Rhinolophus ferrumequinum: one gene and its partners. The protein of the gene in region 1 purifies or fractionates together with the protein of each later gene. This does not show direct contact. Links are inferred from orthologs where the notes say so. Each region holds a gene or a part of one and is shown on either strand. Other genes may lie near its edges. The genes, in order: USP37, FBXW11 and BTRC.

Region 1 (7,876 bases):
CGTAAGTGGAACACACACTAGATTAGAAGCCATAAGTGGCTTCAAAACACAGCTTTGCCATTTCTAGCATGTGTAACCTAGGATAAGTCATTTACTTTCCCAACCCTCAGTTTTATCACTGGTAAAATGAAGGAATTAATTACCGAAGTCTCAGTCAGCTATAAAAATCTTAGAAATTTATTTAATTCTTTGTTATAAAGTGAGAGACTAATCTAAGTGGCTCTTTAAAAATAATAAATTTTATTCAGGTATAATTTATATACAATAAAACTTTTCAGTGCACCCATTTTAAGTGTACATTTCAATGAAGTTTGAGAAATCTATATACCTGAGTAACCACCACCACAATCAAGATATAGATCACTTCCATTACCCTCAAAAGTTCTCTAGTATTCCTGTCAGGAATCGCACCACACCCAGCCCTAGGCAACTATGGATATGCTTTTTGCTGCTATAGATGAGGTCTGCCTTTTCTAGAAACTATTTATAGGAGGTAATATTTACTGAACATACTATGTGCCAGTCACTGTGGATCATCTGCCTTATTCTCAAAATTCTAAGAAAGAATGGGTTCAGGGAGGTTAAATATATGCAAGTTCACACAGCGAGTATATGGCAGAAAATTAGATTTAAATTCTAGGCTACTTCTCTCTAAAATCAGTGAGCCCCTACCTGGTTTATAGGATTGAAATCACAAATATCTCTCCAAGTTGAAGAAAATATTTCTTAAGATCCCAATACAGACTTTTAAGTTTAATATCCCATTGTGTATAATATAGCTCATTAACAGTTGGATTTGGATAAACGGTAAGTTCACTTACATACCCAGAAACGTAAGGTCACTCATGAGAAGTCTGATTTAAACTATTAGTTATCTTCCTTAATACTGTCTTCCAAGATTACAAACAAGAGCTATTGGATATAACTGTATCTTCAGATATAACTCGCTTAATGTCAGTGGTCCCTTCCTTTCAATGTTAAAAATGTCTGTATGGCCAAAATTTAGGAGGGAATTGCTCTCCCCTTTTCTGTTTAATGATTTGTATATAGAAAAAGTATTTCAAATAACTTTTTTCTTTCAACAAAGCTTAACATAGGCAAGACATTTACCAATGTGAGTCACCAATGGTTAACTTCAAGTGTCACAAACACAGGGTACTGATAGTTGGTCTTCTATCTTTGTAAGATCTTAATACTTAATGTGAAAAGAAAAAGATATTTAAAATTTAAATAAAAAGACCCACATTTACCTATAAATGAGAAAGAAAAATGATTTACCCCTCATGAGGAAATTTAAACATTGATGTTGATGGCTTTCTTAAACAGAAAATATCCAAATCTTTCAGTATGGGCCAAAATAGATTCAAGGGCCAAAATAGCTGGCTTTTCTACCAATGAATATTTGACAATGAATAAAGAAAGAAGAGTATTAGATTGAAAAAGAGATTATTTTCCCAAGTCTGGAGATGACTCAACAAGTGTCTTTGAATGTCTAGTTGACGATATTCCAAGAAAACACACTTTCTAAATACTGCCAAAGGGAAATATTAAATTAGCTCAATTATCCTCATATCTTTATGAAAATAAGGTCCAGAATGTTCTTCAAAAATAACTTTTTAAAAATAGAAGTGAATAAGCAAAGAGAAGTTAGGCAATTTGCTTAAAACTTCAACAGGAGACAGTCTTTGAATTAGATGTGCCAGAATGAATGCACAATGTTCTTTTTACTTGCCAAAGAGGAAGGCTTCTGGGAGTCTAGCACAACTTCAACAAAAAGATATAGAATAACTAATGACGGTGCCCATTAGGTGGAAAGCGAGGCAAAAACAAGGGTTTAAAGATGTTAGAATTGCCAGTAGAAATTCTACTGGGGAATCAGTGGGGAATATTTTTAAAAATGCATACCCAGAGCATCTCATAAGGGCTTTCCTTTGGTTGTTTTAGATCACTAGCATATCATTCATTACAGAAGACCCACAGTATGTGAAGATATGTATAATAATTCTATTAATCAACCTCCAAGGTCCATAACAAAGTGATTTGTTACTCTGTTGAGGCAGGAACTAGAGTCCCAAAGCTGAACCTAGGAGCAAGCCATTTAACCAGTGAGTGAACCTAGCCAACCACTGATCACTCTGTTATTATTTCATCTTTAAATAATCCTGTGTGTATTTGTGTCCTTATTTAATAGATGTGAGAAATTACATTCTATGGTGGCAATAATGAAGACGTTAGAATGTATTCTGTAAAGAATGAAAGGTCTATCATACCATACATTTCCAGTATAATACTACTCAAGTCAAAATTTAAGATATTTCCCAAATTATCTCAAATCCTCCCTATTGTGAATGAAATCCTGCATTCACATGTGATCACATTCTCCTTTGACAGTACTATCTCCCTAGCTGAAATGATGAATTACCTGTTATTTTAAAAAAGATAAAGGTACACACAGATACAAATTTTCATCATTAGGCAAAAAGTAATAATCAAGTTGCTTAGATTACTGCAGGCACTGGTGCATGTATTAACTTTTCTCAATTTCTAGAGAGTGACAAACACCATTACTGTCCCTTTACCCAGATCAGAATAAAACAGGCAGTTTAGTCTAATGGAAGGCATGCGCTTCAGTCTCCTCACTAACCAAATATTCTAGTGAATGAGTGGTAGAAAGTAACTTGTCAGAGCTTTCGTGTGGTCTAAGCAGCACAACAAATGAAAGTATATCTAAAAGTTCAAATTTTAAATAAATGTATTGTCAATCTAATTGAAGAAACATGTATTGAGTACTTACTTATAAGTAATGAACCACAGCTTTAATGGCTGTTCAAAAGATGAATTACAGGGAGCAAATGAAAATAAAAGAAATTGAATAGGTATGGGTATAGAGTTTGGGGAGGCACAGAGAAAAGAGCAGCTTGGCATCAAAGTGTGGCGAACACACGATCAGATTTTGAGAGATGGACAAGCCAACCTTAGAAGAATTTATTTACCTTGTCCCTCCCTACTAGCAGAAACCTCATCTTCTGACTTGCTTCTTCCAAATTATACATGTAATGTGCGAGAAGAAACAAAAAAGTTGGGGAAATTGCAAACACCCAATTGAGAGATATAAAAGGTACTTCTCCACTTTGACTAGTTACAAACACTTAGAAACATGGTGACAGGAGGCAGAGATGCCACTGGCTCTGGAAATGACGTTTTCTCTAACCTAATTACACAGCTTCCTTTTTATATTTAAAGGCAATTTTTTGGGTTCTCTATTTCGTATTTGTATCATTTTGCCTACTAATGCAACTTAAGTATATTATTCTCTCATTAAGTCACTTTACCTCTGTGAAACAGAAAAAGTGGGGTGGGCATTTACAAAAGTGTGCTCAAATCATATGATCCCATTTTCCCACTGTGGCTATGTGTTCTCAGTAGCCACCTCCTTCATCTGCACCCCTCATTCAGCAAAGTACCTGAGCCCTTACTTTATGCCAGGAACTGTCCTGGATCTGGGTTACTATGTAAACAAGACCCACATGATCCCTGTCTCTGTCCTCAAGAGGGAGACAATCAACAAGCAAATAAATACAAAAAAATTACAAATTGTAATCAATGCTGTAAAGGATACTTGAAAAGTAAAGTTGGAGGTTACAGAACTACAGTACTTTAAAAAAGACGGTCAGGGTCGCCCACTCTAGGGAGATTTGGCAGAGACCTGAGGGAAGCCAGCTATGCCCACATTGGGGGGAGGGGTGTGTGTGTGTGTGTGTGTGTTTAAGTTGGAAGAGCATTCCAGGAACAGAGATCAGAAAGTGCACTTTGGAGTTGAAAAGCACACCAGAAGGGATGGTAGACGGGATGTCCAGTGTAACTGGAGCCTACCGGGCAAGTGACATAAGACAAGACTGTAAACGTGGGTAAGAACCAGCGAGAGTCTTGTCATAGCGAGGACTCTGGATTTTATCTAAATGCAATGGGAAGCCATAGGATTACACTAGACAGGTGAACTACCCGATCCATTTTGGTTAAAAGACCACACTGATAAAACGAGATGTGTGAGGAAAGGTTTTAAGCGCAGAGAACCGTAAGTCAGACACGATAATTATTCACTTCTCTGGGTCTCAGATTTTCCATCTGCAAAGCAAGTGGTTTTAACTAGAAGCCATTTCCTTTCCGCTGCGATGTGCCTAGGCAGTCAGTTCCGAGAGCCCGGGGCCTTGTCAAATCGATCACAGAATTACCCTCATCCCCGCCGACGCTCGGAACGCAACGGGCACCCGGAAACTGTTGGTCAGGGCAATGAATCAATGAATGGCCAGTCCGGGCCGCGAGGGAGGCGTTCCGGGCGCGCGCAGGCCCCAGGCCGGAAAAGAACGCGAAATGCGGCGCGAGAGGCCACAAGTGCCGGTGGGCGAGGAAAGTAGGGGGTGGCTTCACCGCGACCAAAGCGCGGCGAGGAGGGGGGGCCGGGGCCTCGTGGGTTGAGAGCAGAAGTTGGACTCCAGGCTCCACAGAGGGAGCTAGGAGAGGAGGCCGAAACGCAGGACTGAGGAGGGGTTCTGGGCCCAGGCTGGGCGGCGCACCCACTCACCGCAGCCGTCGCCAGGCTGTGCATGTTGGGAGCGGCCACCGCTCTCCAGCCACCGCCGGACGCGCCCGACCCACGTCCCAGCTTCAGCGACTCTGCCGCCAAAGAGCTGCCGCAGCCGCCATCCGCCTCCGGCTCGCTCCGCCCCCTTCGCAGCCCTATGACCTTTCACCCCTGACACCGCCCACAATCCTCTTCCCCCCTCCTAGCTCTCCACGGAGTTAGTCCTAAAGTCTGTCCTTTGTCGCTTAAGATTCAGGACCTGAAGGACGTCCGCCTCCTATTAGTCCTGGCATTCCCCGCAGGCCTCCCCAGAGAGGGGAGTGAACTCTGACCCTCCTCCGGAGGCCAGTGAAGGGCGGGAAAAGCAGGGCAGTCCCCGAAGGAGAAGTAGTACGCATGCCCGACTGGGCTGAGTAAGATGGAAATGGTGGGAAGTCGAAAATGAGTGAGTAAGAAATGCGCATGCGTCCTGTAGTCAGATGGGGCGGGGCTGCCTTGGCGAGACTTCGCCGAGTGCTGGGGCGGGGCGAGGGCGTGGAGGGGCGGAGTTTGCATTCCTGCGCGCACGCGCCCCGTCCGGTCGCGTAGAGTGTGCGTGCGTGCGTTGCGTGTTTGCGTGTGGTCACAGTTCCCGCCATCAGCCGCTCTCCCTGAGTCGGGGGGAGTGAGCTGTCCCTCTCCTCCGTGCCGGGTGTCCCTTCCTTCCTTCCCCCCCACTTTTCCCCCTCCGCGCGGACTCCGTGCTTCCGGCGGGCCTGTCCCGGGCTCAGGACTCGCAGGCACAGGTAAGGCGGGCCCAGAAAGCTTCTCAACTGAGCGGTTTTCCCCAGCGGCTTCCCCCCCACCCCCGGTCCGCCCACTCGGCGTTCACTCTTCTGGAGTTCGCCCCGCTGCTGCTCAGCCTGCCCCCATCCACTCGACGCTCCCCTGGCCTCACCGGTGCTGCACTTGGGGCTTCCCTCAGGCTTTTCTTCTCCTTTGACCTGGTCTTGACTGTTACTCGCCCCCTCCGCAGCCGGAACCTCCCCCATTTCGCTGGGGGCTGTCGGCGTCCGCCACTCGCCCCTTAGCGAGGCCTGCTGTCTCTAAAAAGAGGACCTACGTTGCCGCACATCCACAGGCCTTGGACATGATTCTCTCACTCTCTTGACAGTTCCTCACCTTCTTTCCTCTCCTAACCATCTCTCACTAAAACGCATGAATTGTGTTCTTGTCGTGCATTTGGTTGCTCCCCATCTCTAGCCATCAGTTCAGGTTGTCAGCTTCACCTGTTTTAGGGCATGAGCCATGAAAGGAAATGATAATTGATGACAAAATCCTGTTTTCTGGAGACTTGGCCTGTAGTGGCTTTGTGGTAGTTCTTTCAAAATTTTGGCTCTGTACATGCCTTTTGGGGGGTGACAGTATCTGACAAGTAGCTAACTGGAAGAGATACCTAAGAGAGGATGTCAAGTTAGCAGTTGGATATATTGGTTTGACGCTCAGAGGAGAGTTCTGGGCTGGAAGTATAGATAAATGTATATATGTCATCTGCCACGTTGATGGTAATCAAAGCCATGGATGTGGATGAAATTGCCTAAAGCGAGTATAACGCTGGAAAAGGGGATCTAGGATGGCTCACTGAGGGGTTCTTGACGTTTAATAACTGGATAGAGGAATACAAGTCTGGTAAAGAGATGGAAGAAGTAATCAGTAGTGTTGCATTTTGCTGAAAGATGAATGAGGACTGAGAAGCCCAGTGAAATCAAAGTAATCGATGGTCATGGTGAGAGAGGTTTAATGGAGTAACATGGAATATCTTGGTTCAGTCGTAGGCCCTGTTCTTTTTGCTCTTCCTTTTCCACCCTAAGCTTTGAATTCTACCTATATATTGATGACTTAAGAACTTTTATTTCCAGCCTCTTCCCAAAAGCTCAAGATCTATTATAACTAGCCCCCATTTGCTTGACATTTCAGCTTGATTTTTTTCCTTAGAGATTTCAAATATAACATGTCTAAAACCAAATTCTTAATCTTTCTCTCCATATCCAAATTCTTTCTCCAGTATCCCGTTTCATTAAGTGGCATATCCATTTATCCACTTACATAGGCTAGACACTTGAAAGCCATTCTTGACTTCTCCCTCATTTCATGTATCCGTACCCTCTTCAAGTTCTATTTATTCTATTTCCAATATATGTGTTGAATCTATTTCTGTATATCTTTCGTATCACTTTTCCAGTCCAAGCCACAATCCTCATTCACTTGGACTTAATGTCACTGCTAGGTACCCTGTATTCTCATCTGTAAAATGGGAATAATCATCACCTTATTGAATTTTTATGAAGATTAAATGAGATAACTGTGGTAAGAACATGATACATAGTAAACAGCCAGTAAGCATTATTATTGTAATTGTTATAAGCTGAATCACTTTAATACTTTCGTATCTGGTTGTCCTGTTTTCTTCCATTCTTGCTCCTTTCTCCTCCCCAAATTGAAATCACTTCTTTATTCAGCAGTAACATGTCATTTCTCTGCTTAAAACCCTTCTGTGGATTTCCCAATCACTAAGTATTTATTACATTGAGGGTAAAATTCAAAATCATTACTATGCTGTACAAGATTCTGCATAACCTGAGTCTTTCCTGCTTTACTAGCTTCATCTTGCACCATCCTCCTCTCTCTCACTAAACTCTAGTCACACTGCTTTTCATTTCTTCAGTCACACCAAGTTACTTTCTGTCACAGGGCCTTTGCACATTTTGTTCTGTTTACTTGGGTGGTTCCAGCATGACTGTCCTTCAGTGAACTCTTTCTTCAAGTTTCAGCTTATATGGTACTTCCTCAGAGAAACCTTCCCTAGGTGCTCTCTAACCTTTAACCCCCAAGTCTTAAATCAGGGACCCTATTATAATCTCTCATCATGCCCTGCACTTTATATCATCTTTCAGAACTTGTAATTATATGTTTATTTGTGTGGTTATTTAAAGTCTGTCTCTTACTAGAATATAAGCTAGTAACTATTTAATTTCTGTTTCTCAAGAATTGGTTAAATGAGTAGCCATCATGTCTTTTGGAAGGTTACTGATATTCTTGTCATCTGTTGACAAACACCTTTTCTGTCTGCAGACAAATCAAAGGATACAAAAAAAACAACAAAGGGTTTTCCAGCTTTGGACGAATTTTCATTTTTATGTCATAAAATCATTTAGATTTTAGACTCTTTGAATTGGAGATAAACTTTATCTAGGGCAACTTCTCTCTTTCAGCCACAACACTAATTTTATCTTTGTGCAAGAAAGCCCTTAGAAA
Region 2 (7,274 bases), on another chromosome or scaffold:
CCTGCTTCAGTATTTGACCCGGATGGGACAGTTTCAGGTCTCAGCAAAGGAGACAAGTGAGACAATTATCCCCTTTAATCCTCTTAAGTGCACAGGTACTGGGGAAACGTGCACTAGCAGCAGTGTAACCAGACTGCACGCCCAGTCCCGCCAGGCGAGGTCAGGCAGGGCTGATCTGGGCTGTTTACAACACCGCCTTTACAGCCTGGGGTGTGAGAAGCAGTGTTATGTGAGATGCGGCTTCGTGGCTCAGGCAGGCCTTTGGTTATTCCCTTACTTGGCTTGTTCACACTGGAATCTCGTTCAGGGGTAGCTGTTCCCTGCTCAGTGCCGCCTGAGCCCCAGTAGCTGCCCTGTCCTTCCCGGATGGGGCCTGGGTGGGTCTTCCGGCCTCACGACTGAGCCAACGTGCAGGCCCATCACTGAGAAGCCCACGTAGTTCTCTGCGTGCTCTGTGCTACTGTTTCCTCTGTAAGGGACACACAGAACTGTTTCTCCTTTTCAGTCAATTTATTGCAGAGTAAATCTAACTAACTTATATTTTCCCTTGATGAAGGATAGAAGTTATTTTTATGTAGTTTTCAAACTTTATACAAGATTTTTGTAATATGTTCTCTGCAAAGTTAACTGCAAGGAAGTAATATACTTCTAATAAAATAACAAGGTGAGAAACTCTATTTGCCTTTGGGGTTGTTCTCTTGGATGGGGGTGGTTCTCTTGGATTGCCAGACAAGCAAAGGGAGAGCTGAACCAAGGGGCTAGCTTCTGAGTGCACTGCTGCCTGCCAGGTCATACAGCCGGTCTGACTGTGGGATTTCTGTTCTGAAAGAAGTTATGCTTGGCTGTGTGTGAGTGTGTGTGTGTGTGTGTGTGTGTGTTTTCTATGGACATTTATTCTCATTTAACAAACATCTGGCCACCAAGAGTTTTCACATATTAACTTACTGAATCCTTTCAACAACCCGAGGAAGACACTGCCATTCCCATTTTAGAGATGAGGAAATGGACACTGGGCAAGGGGAGGGTCAGGCCAAACCTCACACCGCTGGCAAGTGACGCGTAGGGATTCAACCGTAGACCTTCTAGCAGTGCTACCTCCCCCACACCTCTTCCCCTGTCCCCAACTGCCCATTACACTCAGCAAGAGTCACACAGACACTTAGCCACTAGCCATCTCTGCCATGTTTAAAAGATTTTTTCTGCCTTTAAAGTTCCATTCAGGGGTTCTTAACCTGGGGTTCCCAGACCCCCACCAAGGAATCCATGGATAGAATTCAGAGTGCCTTTGTACCAGGATGGAAGAGTTGGTCTTTCGTTTTACTGACCTCTAACTGAAAGGCAGCATTTCCTTTCCTTATGGACGTAGGCCACACATTTTAGTAGTAGTAGCAGTACCTGTAACTGTCAGCAACAGAAGTCAGAGATTTCATCTCACGTGTGGCTCTTAAAGACATCTTAAAATATCATTTTGTTCATCACTTTGAAGTTATAGTAGTAATTAGACCTATTGCTAGATCTTGTTATTTAATGTGATATATGAAAATATACTGTATATATGTATCACATTACATACATATGTCACATATATAAGCAAGTTTTCCTAATATCTTGATAGCTTAATTTCATTGTTAATGATTTCACTTGTAATCTATGTGCTTTATATTGTATATCGGAAAGTATTCTGAGAAGGGGCTCATAGTCTTTGTGGAACACCGTAAGATAAAGAACCCCTACTCTGCAGCCCTGAGTTGTCCCTGTCCTAGAAACTTTCCCACCAGCAGGTGGCGGTCCACTGTCAATGTCTCGCAAGTCCGTGAACTGGGTGTTTAGGGATGCAGGTGAACAAACAGCTGGCACGCCTCCCATTAAGGGCTAGAAAAGTGACTGGGGTTCCCAGGGAAAGCACTCATGAGACTGGTGAGGAAGACAAAGCATTAGGGGTTGTGTGGAACTTGGGAAATGAGATGATCCCACATTAATTGATACCGCATAATCACAAGTACTAGAGATGCTGTAATGGGTAAGATACTGAGTCTTCAAAACACTTGTCCTGTTGAGGAAACACCTGGAGAGGCAGAGTGTCCGTGCAGGCTGACACAGCCTGGGAGAATCAGGGAGGACTTCCCAGAGGAGGTGATGCTGAGTCTTGGAGGACAAATGAGTACGTGAAAAATGCATTCCGACACCGCGGTAGAGTTGAGGGTGAATAGCGGTAGCCATGAGGGCCACACTTGCATGCCGAGCTCAAACTGATCCCTACTGCCCTGTGGACAGTAAGAAGACTCAGAAAGAGTTTACTCGGTAAGGACAGTTGAAATCATGACCACAGCAACTCAAGAGACCAGCTGAAAAGGACAAAAACAATGCTGATATTGAATGGGAATACTGACCCACACAGGTTGGAGGCTCTAGAAAGTAAAGGGGAAACAGCAGGCTCCATGAAGGCAGGGAGTAAGACTTTAGCTGACCCCGAAACCCCAGAACCCAGCATGTTGCAACACTGAGATATCCAGTCTGGGTCCTTGTACCATAAAGAGTTCGCTAAGGGAGGTGTGGGGGGTCTGGGGGATGTAGACTGGATGTATATTAACCTGCTGTGGTACCAGACGTCTGGTTAATAACAAGCATGTCTTTAGTTAAAAACAATACTGAGAGAACTTCCACTTCCAACGATGGCAGACTAGGTAATTCAGACCAATCCTAACACGGAGGACAATTGGAAAAGCTGGACAAAATAATTAAACACTTTATAGGTGTTCTAATCTCCTCACTTTATAGGTGCAGAGAAAAGCAACCTCTGACATTAGGAAGCTGGCCTGCTACATGACAGCCAGGCTGTAATGTTACTAGATGGTAGCCTGGCCTGCTTAGCTCGGTCTTGTGTTCTGTTGAATATAATTTTTCACAGAACATAAACATCGGACAAGGCCATTCTGTAACCATGAGAGATCAAGACAAAAACAAGACCACTCCTTAAGTATACCCGCTCGCAGATAAAACGTGACCATTGTTCAAACCACAAAAAACCAAACATCCCCCATCCTGGCTAACATGAGGGGGGCAGCTTCCTTACCAATTACAGCGTTAGCCTCAGTCTAGTATTCCTCCCTTCCAGGTAAGATTTAACGAGATGCCCAATCATAGAATTACCCCCACTTCCTGGCACCATCGAACTCAGAGTAAAGTCCCCCACTTCCTTAAACCCTCTCCCAAATCATCTAATAACTTCTACTGAGATGCTCATGCCCCACGCTTTCCCCTTACAGCAACCAAGCAATAAACGCAACTTCAACTACCTGTCTCTGGTGGTCTTTGATTAGGAGGCAGTGACAGACCTAAGGTCACCGAGAGCTGGTGACCGAGTTCACTAGGCGTCCCCAGGTCTCCAGCTGTGTTCTGTCTTAGCACCTGTCACTCTGGGTAAATGTCTGCCTTCCTGCGCACTAGAATGAAGCCCACGAGAACAGAGGACCTGTCTGGGATGCTCGGAGCGGATTCCCAGGGCCTAGACTGGTGCGCAGCCGAGGCCAGAAGTTTAAAAAGTATTTTCTGAACAAATGAATACGAGGGGCTCACTATTCACAGGTTCCCTTTCATCTCTCAGCTCCTCTCAGTTCCATGAGCACTACAGCTCCTCTCCAGAAACCTCTTCTTCCCCATCGAAATCTCCAAACACCTCACTGGGATGCCTGAGAGGGATGATGGATGGCCCTTGTGGACCCTCCTCCCTTGCCCGAGCGTCTCTCGCTCGCTGGCCCCCTCCCACACCTGAGCCCCAAGACCACTCCCTCTTAACGCACCCAGAACCTACCTGTCTCCAATGTGTCCCAACTACCATGCGCTAGCTGACCAGCTGCGCCGCTACCTAGACGTCGAATGGGCATTGCGGTGGCCGACCGCGCATGTGCGGAAATTGGTCGCACAAGCGGGACCTCCGACAAGCGAAGAGTTGCTTCTGAGTTTCCGTTCCGGTCTGAGTAGCCTTGGGCTGCCAGGAAGTCAGGGGGAAGTAGCCGGAAGCAGAACCCGCGCGCAGGGCTTTCGGGGACATGTAGTGGCGGGGCTCCCAAGGCCCTACCCGGTGGGAGCCCGTGATTCTTGCGGTCTGAACGTTCCGCATTCACGATTCAGTGCCACTTTCGCCGCAGAATTCAGCTTCGCGCTGCCAGGAGAGATTGGCCGGGTGTCGGCTTTTCATTCCCACAACGCTTGGCGGGCACGCGGCGCCTGCTGGGAGCGGTAGTCCTGTCGGCGTAGTGCGTTCGCCGAGGGGGAGGGCGGAGCTGCCGGCGGCCCGGGCGGGCTGGCAGCTAGAGTGGGTGCGATTACCGCCTCCGCCTCTGCCGCCTCCGCCGTCGCCTCCTCCGCCCGGGCCGTTCGCTGCTGCGCGGGGAGAGCGAGGCGGGGCCGCCATGGAGCCCGACTCGGTGATTGAGGACAAGACCATCGAGCTCATGGTGAGTGCGGCCCGCTGGACCGTCTGTTCTTCCGTCCGTCCGGCCCCGGGCGGGCCTGCCCATCTCAGGGTCCGGCGCGAGGCCGGCCCTGGCCCTTCCCCGCCGTTTCGGCCCCGACCTGGGCCCCCTGCCTTCCCTGGCCTCGGGCCGGGAGCGGTTCCTCCGGATCCCTCGAGATCTCAGGCCGGACCTGGTCCGGCCCCCTCCCTGCCCCTCGGTTCTCCTCCCCTTATCCTGTCTCCGGGCCCATCTCTCGAACGATCCTCGCTCGCTTCTGCTGTGGCCGTAACTCATACTCGCTGTAGCATCCCATTCTCCTTTTCTTAGAAGGGGATTCGTTAATTTTTTTTTCCTCCTCTATTTCCCCGGCCCAGGCCTGCACCGCTCTTGAAAGCCCCAGTCAGGCCGAATGAGGTGGTGGGAGGGGATACGGAGGAGATGGATCAGGGCCTTGGCCTCCGCGACCTAGTGCGGGGTCTCAGCCCCCTGTCCCCAACCTAGGGCTGTGTGGATGCCGGGATAGGCCCTACAGGGGTGGAGGTGGGGAGCTCTCGGGTTTGAGGTGGTGACGGAGAAGGGGTCTCTTTCCCGGGCCCCTTTGATGTCCGGCTTCTCGGACAAAGGGTTTCCTACTGGGCCGAGAGGGATGTTTGCATAGCAAGGCCCCAGGTACTCTGGATTCCATCTTCCAGGAAAGGGAAACCGTAACTTCATGTTTTCGAGAGCTGCTTTGGGAAATTGAGGAAGGGGGGAGGGTTGCCCTCATCACTGCCGTCAGTTCTTTCTTCTCAAAAAAAAGGTGTGTGTTGGGGGGAGAATCCTAGGCCTCAGGGGAAACGATAACTCTTCTGTTAGGAACCATTGGTAGCCAGACCAGACTTCCTGGCCCCGCGGTCGCCCCAACCCCCTCCCCCCTTCCCCCTAAGGACTTGAGCCAGAAGGAGTTTTTAGAAACAGGACCACAAGAGAGTGGCTAGTAGAAACGAAGAATTTGCTACTTGGTGGATGATTCGGTGGGAGAAATAAAACATGGCAGCTATTACCTGCCAATTTGAACATCAGAGAAATCAAACGGGGCTATGGAGAGTTGGGAGGAGGAAGTCTTTGCTTCAGCAAATGGACAAGCCCAGGCTTTCTTCCTGTGGAAACCTTGACAGTTTTTTGTATGTCCCCTAACACGGTAACAATTTCTAGCCCACGGTTGAGAGGAAAGGTGAAAGAATCTACTTAACCCAGCAAAAGGTTTTCCTAGCCAGATTTTCTCCAGTGTGAAAATGTTTATTGAGTCAGTAATTCCACTGGGTAGGGTCGGTGACATCAGAGCCACTTCCCCCATTTAATGCTATAAATAATAAATGGTGACACTGAAAGTCTGTTGGATAGCTGCATGGTTTCTGTGGATGATGGTACTTGGGGAGTTGAGATGTATGTTTTAAAAATGGAAGTACAGTAGCATAAATCCGGAGGCAGCTTAATATATGCTGCTTTTGCATAATTCACAGACACAGAACTAGACTTCTCCAGCATTCTTGAAAACTAAAAAAAAAAAAAAAGCTCTGATAGTTTAGGAAGTGTGTGCACACGTGTGGTTGATTTCTAAGGGATACATACTGTCACTTGGGGCTTTTTATTTGATTTTCATTTATTAAGTAATTTGTCCTCTTCAGTATAATTGTAAGTCAAGTGTTTGGTATTCTGCAACTTTTGTAGTGGATTATTTTGGTAAAATATCTTAATTAGAATTATAAATATAGTACATATTCTTATGGATGTTCATACATGTACTTAACAGGAATAATTCATATTAAAAAATTGTATCTTGATACCTCTTTGAAATTGGCTGTCCTGTGCTCCTTTCATTTCTGTTCATTTAAAGAGTAACTAAAATGTCTTTATTTTCAAAAGAGAAGAAACACAGTGTAATCTATTTAGTGTCTTCGTGTATATTGTAAAAAAAAAAAATCAGGCCTAAATTTACTGGCTTCCTATGCTATACTTATAACCTAAAAAAGGTTTGATTTTTACATGCTTGTGCTTGTCTGTGATCTGAAAAAATATTTCAGCCTTTTAAGGACATTATAAACTGGGATTCTTAGAGAATTTAGAAAGAGTTTAATAGTTATCTAAATCAATTTTAAAATGGCTTTTTTTATATATGGATTTTGATACTCCCTCAAAGGGATAGCAGTTAAGACTCTTAGGCAACCCTTTTCATAAACATATATGTATTTTAGTGTAGTAGGTAGTAGCACAGGTACTTAACTGATTTAGCAAATCCAGGAGCAGATGTAGGAATGATAATGCCTTAAAATCTAATTGCATGTGGCTTTCTGTATTAACTGTATTTTAATTACAGTTTCCAGAAGTAGGTTAAAAATATTTTTTACATTGGTTTCAAAATAACATGATTGAAGGAGGGGAAAGGGTTAAAGGGATGGTATTTTGAAAGCCTAAAGCACGAAATATTTTTAGATTTTTATGAGTCAGCTTCAATACTCAAATATTTGTCATTGTGCGGCCTGTACCAGTTTGGTACTTAATGGTTAACAGGGTAACTTCCATTTGATAATTTCAGAGTGTGCTGTATTAAAGAAAGGAAACAGACTTCATGGGTATCTCTGATTTCTTAATCTTCATTCCTCTACTTTGATTTTGATTCTTTCTCCTTTTTCCCTTGCACTTCTTCACTACTAGGAAATAAAGCTGGTGATAGCAGAATAGTTAAAATCTCCAAAATACAACTACTTTGTGACTCCCACCCCTGCCTGAGGCTGAGTCCACAAAGAAGCCTTTTCCAACAGACCTACCTCATTGGGT
Region 3 (7,543 bases), on another chromosome or scaffold:
AGTACCTTGGGGATAGAGCTTGGGCATCAATATTTTTCATGAAGCTCCTAAAATGACTCTTACGTGCAATCAGAGTTGAGAACCCCAGCAGGTATAGGAGAGGGGAATGCCATGCAATGAGAAAAAAGTGCAGGCAGATGTGGAATATTTCTGACTCCAGTCTGCTATGTGTTATAAGCACACACTACAGAGATGGTGGGAGTTAGAAGAGCAGGAGGGCATGATTCTTGTGGATTGGGTGTTGCCAGAGAAGGTAAAATGTGTAAACTGGCTTAAAAAAAAAGCGAAAATCTCAATGTCAAGTGTGGTGGAGTAGTGTGGTGGAAGCATAGACTGTTGTGGTCTTTCTGTACTGCAGTTTGACATTACATAGTCCAACTAAATATCCTTAATAGTCTATGAACCAGCAAGTATGATTTTTCGGTAAATATTCTCAAAGATAGTGTTGCTCAGGGATCACGTAGGAGGTTGATCACTACAGCTTTATTGGGGGTGATTGGAGGCTTTGCTGGGAGAGTAGATAGGTAGAATGTGGGAGCTACACACCATCAGACTATTATTCAGCAGTTAGAAGCAACAGATTAGATGTACGTATAGCAACATGAATGGATCTTAAAATCATAGATACTGGGTGCAAAAGGTATGAAACATAGTAAGATATATAAAACAATATTACATTTGTGAATTGTAAATGTAGCACACCACCTCCAACAAAAAATGCAGCATACAAAACAATATTTATTTTGAAAGACCCATACAAATAAACATTGCCTGTGCGGGGAGGGCAGGCTGTAGTGCTAAAAGGCAATAGATAACTATTTTTCAAAAGTAAGATTTAAATCAGACCTTGAAAGATGGGTAGGAAAGAGGAGGAAAAGGAAGCCTTCTAGAATGGTAAAATGACTCCCATAAGTTAAGGCCAGGAGGCAGGAGTGTGCTAAGCACGTGGAGTAGGAGAACAGTCTATTTGGAGCAGAGGGTTATATTAAAACAAGTGGGAAGTAAGGCTAGAGAGGGAGGATTGGATAAGATTTGAAAGGTCTGGAAAGCTAGAAAAAGGAATTTAAGCAATGATAAAGTAGTTAAGAGAGCCATAAAAGGATTGATCAGGGAAGAAATGTGATGGAAGTGAAGTCAGATGAGGCGGATGGAGAGAGCCTGGAGTCAGAGAACTGGATGGGAAGTGAATAAATACTATAGTGAACTAAGAACAAAGATAAAACAGGTAGTCTGGAACAGGCTTGCATTGGAGGTGGAGGCTGAAAGAGACATTTTGATAGATTATTGGCTGAATACAGACACTAATAGACAAGGTTAAGCCAGAGTACCCTGTGGTCTTAAACAAGGAAATTAATGGAAGAAATTAAGTCCAGCAGTAGCCTGAGATTTCTCACACTGGAAATCCAGTTTTCCAGTAACGTGGAACTTTAAAGGTTCTAATGATTCAGTCTTCTCCTTGAACAAGCACCATAAGCCGGGCTCATAGGTACACCCATTTTAGAGATGGCAGAGATCTTTGTTTTCCAGATGACAAAAGAGAGGACCAGAGAGGTTCAGTTAATTGCACAAATACAACCAATTAACTGGAGAAAGGATGGGCTAGAACCAGGTCTCTTAACTATTAGTCCAATGAACTTTCCTAAACTTTGTTGGATACGAGAGGCTTGAAAATCAAGGCAATTCACATTTGGATTTCTGTTTGCCTGACCATGAGTGGTCAATTTTCAAGAAAAAGGACTTACCCTTTGTGTACCCAGCCCCTGCCAGCTTACTTTCAATCCATATGCATATGAACTGTCTAGCTGGCTGGGCTTCTAAACAAAAACTCCTTGTGTTTGTTTTACTAATCCTGACCTCTACATGACTGGACAAAGTGAGGACTGCCACTGACTGCCAGCCTCATCAGGCAATATTTTCATCCTCCTCTCTGGATAAAAAAGTAAAACAAATGACTTCTAAAAAGAATAAAACCTTAGAGTTTGAAAGATCTTAACCTCCCACCCAAACTGAACCCCCCTGACAGATGGTCATCCTGCCTCTATGTTTTCAGAAATAGGGCAGTCTATTCCTCTGTCAGGACAGCTCTGATTACTAGAAAGCTCTGAGTCTGAGTCCTATGTCACTGTAGTGTGAGTCAGTGAAAATAGCACAGGCCTTGGAGTCAAGCAGACTTGAGTTAGAATCCTAACTATGTAATTTGCTGCATGACTTGAGCAAGTTATTTATCTTCTACCAGTATCATTCACTTCATCTGTACATTAAGGATAATATCAGTTTTACAGAGTTACTATGAATATTAGAGATTATGAATGTAAAATGCCTACTACAGTGCCTGGCACAAAGAGCTAATAAAGTGATAGCTGTTGTTATCATCATCATAATTATTATCCCACCTATTGGTCCTAGTTTGCCTTATGGTGCTACATATACATGCCTTTCAATACTTTTGAATACTTAAATTTAGTTGTCATGTTATTCCTAAGTGTTCTTTTTTTCAGAGTAAGCATCCATCAGTATTTTCTCTTTTGGTTATCCTTCTCTTGGCTATACTCCTGCATCTGATGTTTGTAGAACATGGTGCCTGTAACTGAACAAAGTACTCCAGGTGTGATCTGAGTGCTTCAAAACAGAGTAAGACCATAAGCCTCTATTTCCCAGACACCACTCTTCAAGCTGCCTAGGACTCCTTTGGCTTCCCCCCCCCCTTCTTCCTCATCCCTCCCCACCCCCAGCCCCCTGACTCTAGTTCAAGCTGTTATTTTTCAGTCTAGCTGTGTAGGACACAGCTCCCTGGCCCATGCTGGTATTATGAGCCTTGCGTTCCCCCTGGCTGAGGCAGTCGGTCGCCTGTCGTTGGTGCGCTGCTCACAGCGGCTCACAGGCAGCTCTGGCCAGCTGCCCACTGCTCATGGCAGCCCACAGTAGCTGAGGGCAGCTCAGGATGGTTGCCGGCCACTCACATTGCCGGCCACTCTCCAAAGCACACGACAGCAGGTGGTAGCTCATGCCAACCTCCGGCTGCTCAGGGCAACCCAGCTCCAGGGAGAACTGTTGTTCACAATGCTATAGAGGGCGCAGCTCACTGGCCCAAGTGGGAATCAAACCAGCAACTTGGGCATTAGGAGCACTGGGCTTCAACCACCTGAGCCACCCGGCCGGCCCTCCTTTAGCTTTTTTGGTGACCATGTCACAGACTGTCTTAGTCCTATGAAAACCTCCAGGTATTTTTCATTTGAGTGAGTTTTAAGTCTTCCACATTTTTGCACTTGTGTAGAATTTGTTTTTAAAATTCAAGAGTAAACTTTTTATTGATTGAAAGCTTATTATGTATTAGGTATGGTGCTGAGTTCAATACATAAGGATGACTAGGACAGAATATCAACATATTAGAAATGCAAGCTCTACAAGACTGGGTCTATCATGCTCACTGGGTCTATCCAAGAATCTCCATTTCTTGGAACGATGTCTCCACATGGTTATGTGCTTACTGTTGTTGAATTAGCGAATGAATAGTTTATAAGGGAAGTTTTTCTTATAAGTGAAAAGGCATTTCCCCAATTCACTTATTTTATAAATTCAGATTATTATTATTATTTTTACAACCCTATCATTTTTAGACCAGTGTTTTTTCCATCTAGGGTAGACCCAGTTTCCAAAATGAACTTGTACTGTCCCTTTCAAGGCCAAACTAAATACTTATATGCTTTATTTGCTGGATGGCCATTATGTTCCACTATTGAAGGTCTTTGTAAGTACTTGTTTGACCCTTAATGCAGGGCTTACATCTCATGGTTAGCAGTAGCAGCTCAACTTTCTGAGTGCTAACCCCCTGAGAATTTCCAGAACCGAGTTCTATTGGGCCCTGCCTTGGTGTGGGGGAGAATAAGGTCCTCGGGAGAAGTGTTGCTTAGGAGGACCTTGAAATTCTGCATTCGTCTGTGTAAGGGGCGGCCAGATGCTTATAGGCCCAGCGCCTCTGGGTCGAAATCCATCCCGCAGAGGTCAAATATATGAAATTTAGGGGTGTCCAGTTCTCTAAAACCACAGTTAGGCAGGTCTTAGGAACTCTGTAGAGTCCTCACAGTGTTTCCCAGTATTAATGGGCTACAGCTGAGGCACTGGTCGCCATCTTGCTATGAAATGCCAGGCAAGCGGTCCCTGGCGTCTTTTGGTAACCACGGAGACACCCTTGCCCCTCCCGTTTTTCAGCCTGTCGAGGCTATAAACTACGATTCCCATCAGCTGATTTCCTCTACTAGAAGGATAGTTGTCTAGATTTGGCTTGTCAGTCACCGCGACCCTGCCGCAGTGAACCGCGGGAGTTGCAGTTCGCGGTGGGACCTCACTTTTTGCTGCGTAAAGCTCCAGAACTACAAATCCAGTGAGCCAGTGGGTTTACGCATGCGCACGAAATAGCCGGTCCTCCCTGGCCCCCCTGGCCCCCCTGCGGGTGCCTGAGAGGTAAGAGGGCGGAGGGAAGAAAGAGGAGGCGGGATCCGGGCGCTGCGTTGGCTGCGGCCTGGCACCAAGGGGGCGGCCCCGGCGGAGTGCAGACCCAGTGGCCCCCGGCGATTATGGACCCGGCCGAGGCGGTGCTGCAGGAAAAAGCGCTCAAGTTTATGGTGAGGAGAAGGTGCAGGCCGGGGAATGGTGTTGGCGGTGGCGTTGGCGGCATCGCTGAGGCTCGGGCCTGGACAGCTTGTCCGCCGGAGGAGGGGGCAGCGGGACTGTGGGCCGAGGCCGGCAGCGGGGGCTGCTGAAGGGGACGGGACAGGAGCTCCAGGGAGGCGGGAGGGGGTGGTGGAGAGCACCCGGGGTGGGGGCAGCAGCTCCGCCATCTTGTGGATGAGAGGCCAAGTGACAGCGGGAGCTTAATCGGGGAGGGGGCTCCGGGCGGCGCGCGGGGCCCTGGAGGGAAAGGGGCGTGGGGACAGTTACTGAAGTGCTCGAAGGGGAGACGCGGTGAGGCCGCTGGCAGGGCCTTTCCAGTGCCAGGGTCACGGGTAAGGCTTGGGAGAAGAGGTGCATTCAGGAGTGGGGAAGGGGAGCGCGGAATAGTGGGAGGAAAGAGATTGGGGGGAGGGGGACCGGCAGGGCTGGATGCAGATGGATCTGAGGGTGGAGGAAAGCCAGGGCTGGTGCGAGACTTGTAGTTTTATAAAATGAGGGCGTAGAAATAGCCTTTACCTTCAGGGTGCAATCCCAGCTTGGCCAAACTAATGTTGGCAAACTCTGGAAAGGAAGAGGTCTTAGGAAAATAAGAACTGGGGATGGGGATCTAGGGTTATGGTGACAGTCTCTGGGAAAGGAAGGGGGGTGTTGACTATGAGCCAGAATTACAGATGTCAGAAAAGGGGGTACACATTCTACTTTGAAAGGAGAGGCCAAATATTGTAGTAAGGATGAGGAGATGAAAAGCAAGAGGTTGATTGGTCAAGGAAACCTGGGTTACACGAGATTGGGGGCAAATTAATATTAATAGGGTTAAAACAAAACAAAAGTGCTAAATTGTAGAGATAGTAAAGTGGGGGCCAGGCGCTATATCACTTTCTGGGAAAGGAAAGGCGGTGGAGATTAGAATCACAAGACCTGTGAGTGATGAGATCAGTGGAGAAATTCAGGAGATAAAAGAGGGAATGTCAGTAATGGGAAATGGGAGATGTCACGATTGGTGGTTACTTATCAGTTTTAGGTTGAAGCACACATCAGGAGCTTGGATTGAATTTTGTGGGTGTGTTTAAATCCTTTGGAGCCCAGTTTTTAAACTTTGTGTCATGCTTTTTTTCTATGTTTATGTTTGGCAATTTTTTATAGTCTGATATTTGATGCTTTTAATCTGATGCTTCTTGTATATCCTAGGTGTAAAACCAGACTTTATGGTTACAGCTAAAGAATGATGGGATGCATAGACTTCTACCTTAACAGGTGGCCTTAGGGGCATTGATATTATTTGCAGTCAATACCTTTTCAGAAGTAATTGTAACCTGTCACTACAAATCTTACTTCTTAGTTGTTATTTTGTGTCTTTGCCTGAAAAACCAAAATAAATCTAAATAAACATGGACACTAACCTAATTCCATTTAGTCTTTAACCGGCCCTATTTACAAGAATACATTTTCAGAGACTGGTCAGATTTACTAAAACTTTATTTTGTGTTAGTGCTTTCGAAAACACCTAACTAAAGCTTGAGTGTATTATCAACAAAATTCCATGTTGGAAAAGGTTCTTGAGTTTGTACCCAATGTTGAAATTCTAAAATATTAAGACAAGACTTTGACATTTTTTGGACTTCAAAAGTAAGAGGAAGTTGCTTTATATCTATAGCCAGCTTCTATATTGAAGTCAGAAAAGTGGCAGATGCTTATTTTTATTTTCCTCCTTAGAGGTTGACTTAATCCTAATCTTGACACTTCTGTTAGTTTTATGGAATAGTGTGATTTACAGATCATAAAGAGACATTATGAGATCATCTATTCTCAATCAGACCTCAGTCTAGGAATATTCTCAACTACTTGATCCCTGCTTTGTACCAGTGAGTTGTATTTCGATAATGGTCAGATTCAGTTAAAGTGGATCTGGAGATGGCCATGTAGTAGTTTGCAGCTTTTAGGGCACCACGTGTTATTAAATGTTGAGTCAGTTTCCAGAGAGAGAAGCCAGTTTTTTCTTTAGTTACTTTTATTTTTGACCTTGCCTGCTATTGTGGCTGCTGTTTGAGAAAAGGCCAACTGAAAGAAGGTCACCAAGAATGTCACCTTAATAACTGAAGCAGAGAATGGAGAGTTAGAGATTTGGTATTCTTTTTCAGCTCAGTAACAGCCTTATTATGAATCTGAGTAAGTCTCAACTTGCCTTTGGTCCCATTTACCCTGCTTTGTAACATGTCTGTTTACTTGGAGTCAATTTTGAGATAGGAAGATATTTTATTTGTGCTTGCACCAAGTGATTAGTACACAATACACATGGAAGGGCTATGCTTTTAATCAAATTGATAATTATATAGAGTGTATGGCTTTGTTTTGGCCTTATCTTTCCCTCAGTTGTGAATTATGAATGACAGTTTTTGTGTGGATGCCCTGACTTCCATAGTTTAAGAAAATGCAGTTTGTTAAAAATACCAAGATGAAATGGATATTCCCTTTTACGTATTTTGCTCATTACCACATTAATGTAGTGCTTCAGTTAGGAATTTTGCAATAGAATCTTATTAATGAGACTGCTAATTCAGACTTGCCCATAATTCGCATGTGGTCTAGATTTAAAAGTTTATGCTTGGATACTTGTGAAAAGTAGTTTAACTTCTAGAAACAAATGATATTAAAGAAGTAGTTTACGTTAAATAACCTATATGCTAATATCTCTCATTCAGCTTTAGCAGGTCCTCAAGGATCTTTCCTAATACTTCCTTGGTCAACAAAATTATAATTCCTCAGAAAAGATAATTGGGAACTGGGAGAGGACCTGAGAAGAGAAATGAAAATAATTGAGGGAATGTAGGCACCATATAGGAGAGATATAGTTAAAAAAAACACAAAACTATAT

Evidence for each region.
Region 2: the proteins of USP37 (region 1) and FBXW11 purify together in Homo sapiens (affinity purification with mass spectrometry; 6 studies listed by BioGRID and IntAct, counting the BioPlex papers as one, with this or other methods). This does not show direct contact. The link is inferred for Rhinolophus ferrumequinum from reciprocal best matches to the Homo sapiens genes USP37 and FBXW11.
Region 3: the proteins of USP37 (region 1) and BTRC purify together in Homo sapiens (affinity purification with western blotting; 3 studies listed by BioGRID and IntAct, counting the BioPlex papers as one, with this or other methods). This does not show direct contact. The link is inferred for Rhinolophus ferrumequinum from reciprocal best matches to the Homo sapiens genes USP37 and BTRC.

Annotation. Positions count from the first base shown.
Region 1 is NC_046291.1:16,768,822-16,776,697, forward strand, and holds the start of USP37 (ubiquitin carboxyl-terminal hydrolase 37), read left to right. Parts: upstream 1-4,808; 5' UTR 4,809-5,027; intron 5,028-5,161; exon of another isoform or gene 5,162-5,367; intron 5,368-7,876. Other genes in the region: CNOT9 (CCR4-NOT transcription complex subunit 9), read right to left, coding at 4,583-4,606. UniProt on the Homo sapiens protein: Deubiquitinase that plays a role in different processes including cell cycle regulation, DNA replication or DNA damage response.
Region 2 is NC_046307.1:38,113,574-38,120,847, reverse strand, and holds the start of FBXW11 (F-box/WD repeat-containing protein 11), read left to right. Parts: upstream 1-4,267; 5' UTR 4,268-4,412; coding exon 4,413-4,457; intron 4,458-7,274.
Region 3 is NC_046299.1:23,422,478-23,430,020, reverse strand, and holds the start of BTRC (F-box/WD repeat-containing protein 1A), read left to right. Parts: upstream 1-4,439; 5' UTR 4,440-4,574; coding exon 4,575-4,622; intron 4,623-4,938; exon of another isoform or gene 4,939-5,003; intron 5,004-7,543. UniProt on the Homo sapiens protein: Substrate recognition component of a SCF (SKP1-CUL1-F-box protein) E3 ubiquitin-protein ligase complex which mediates the ubiquitination and subsequent proteasomal degradation of target proteins. Recognizes and binds to phosphorylated target proteins.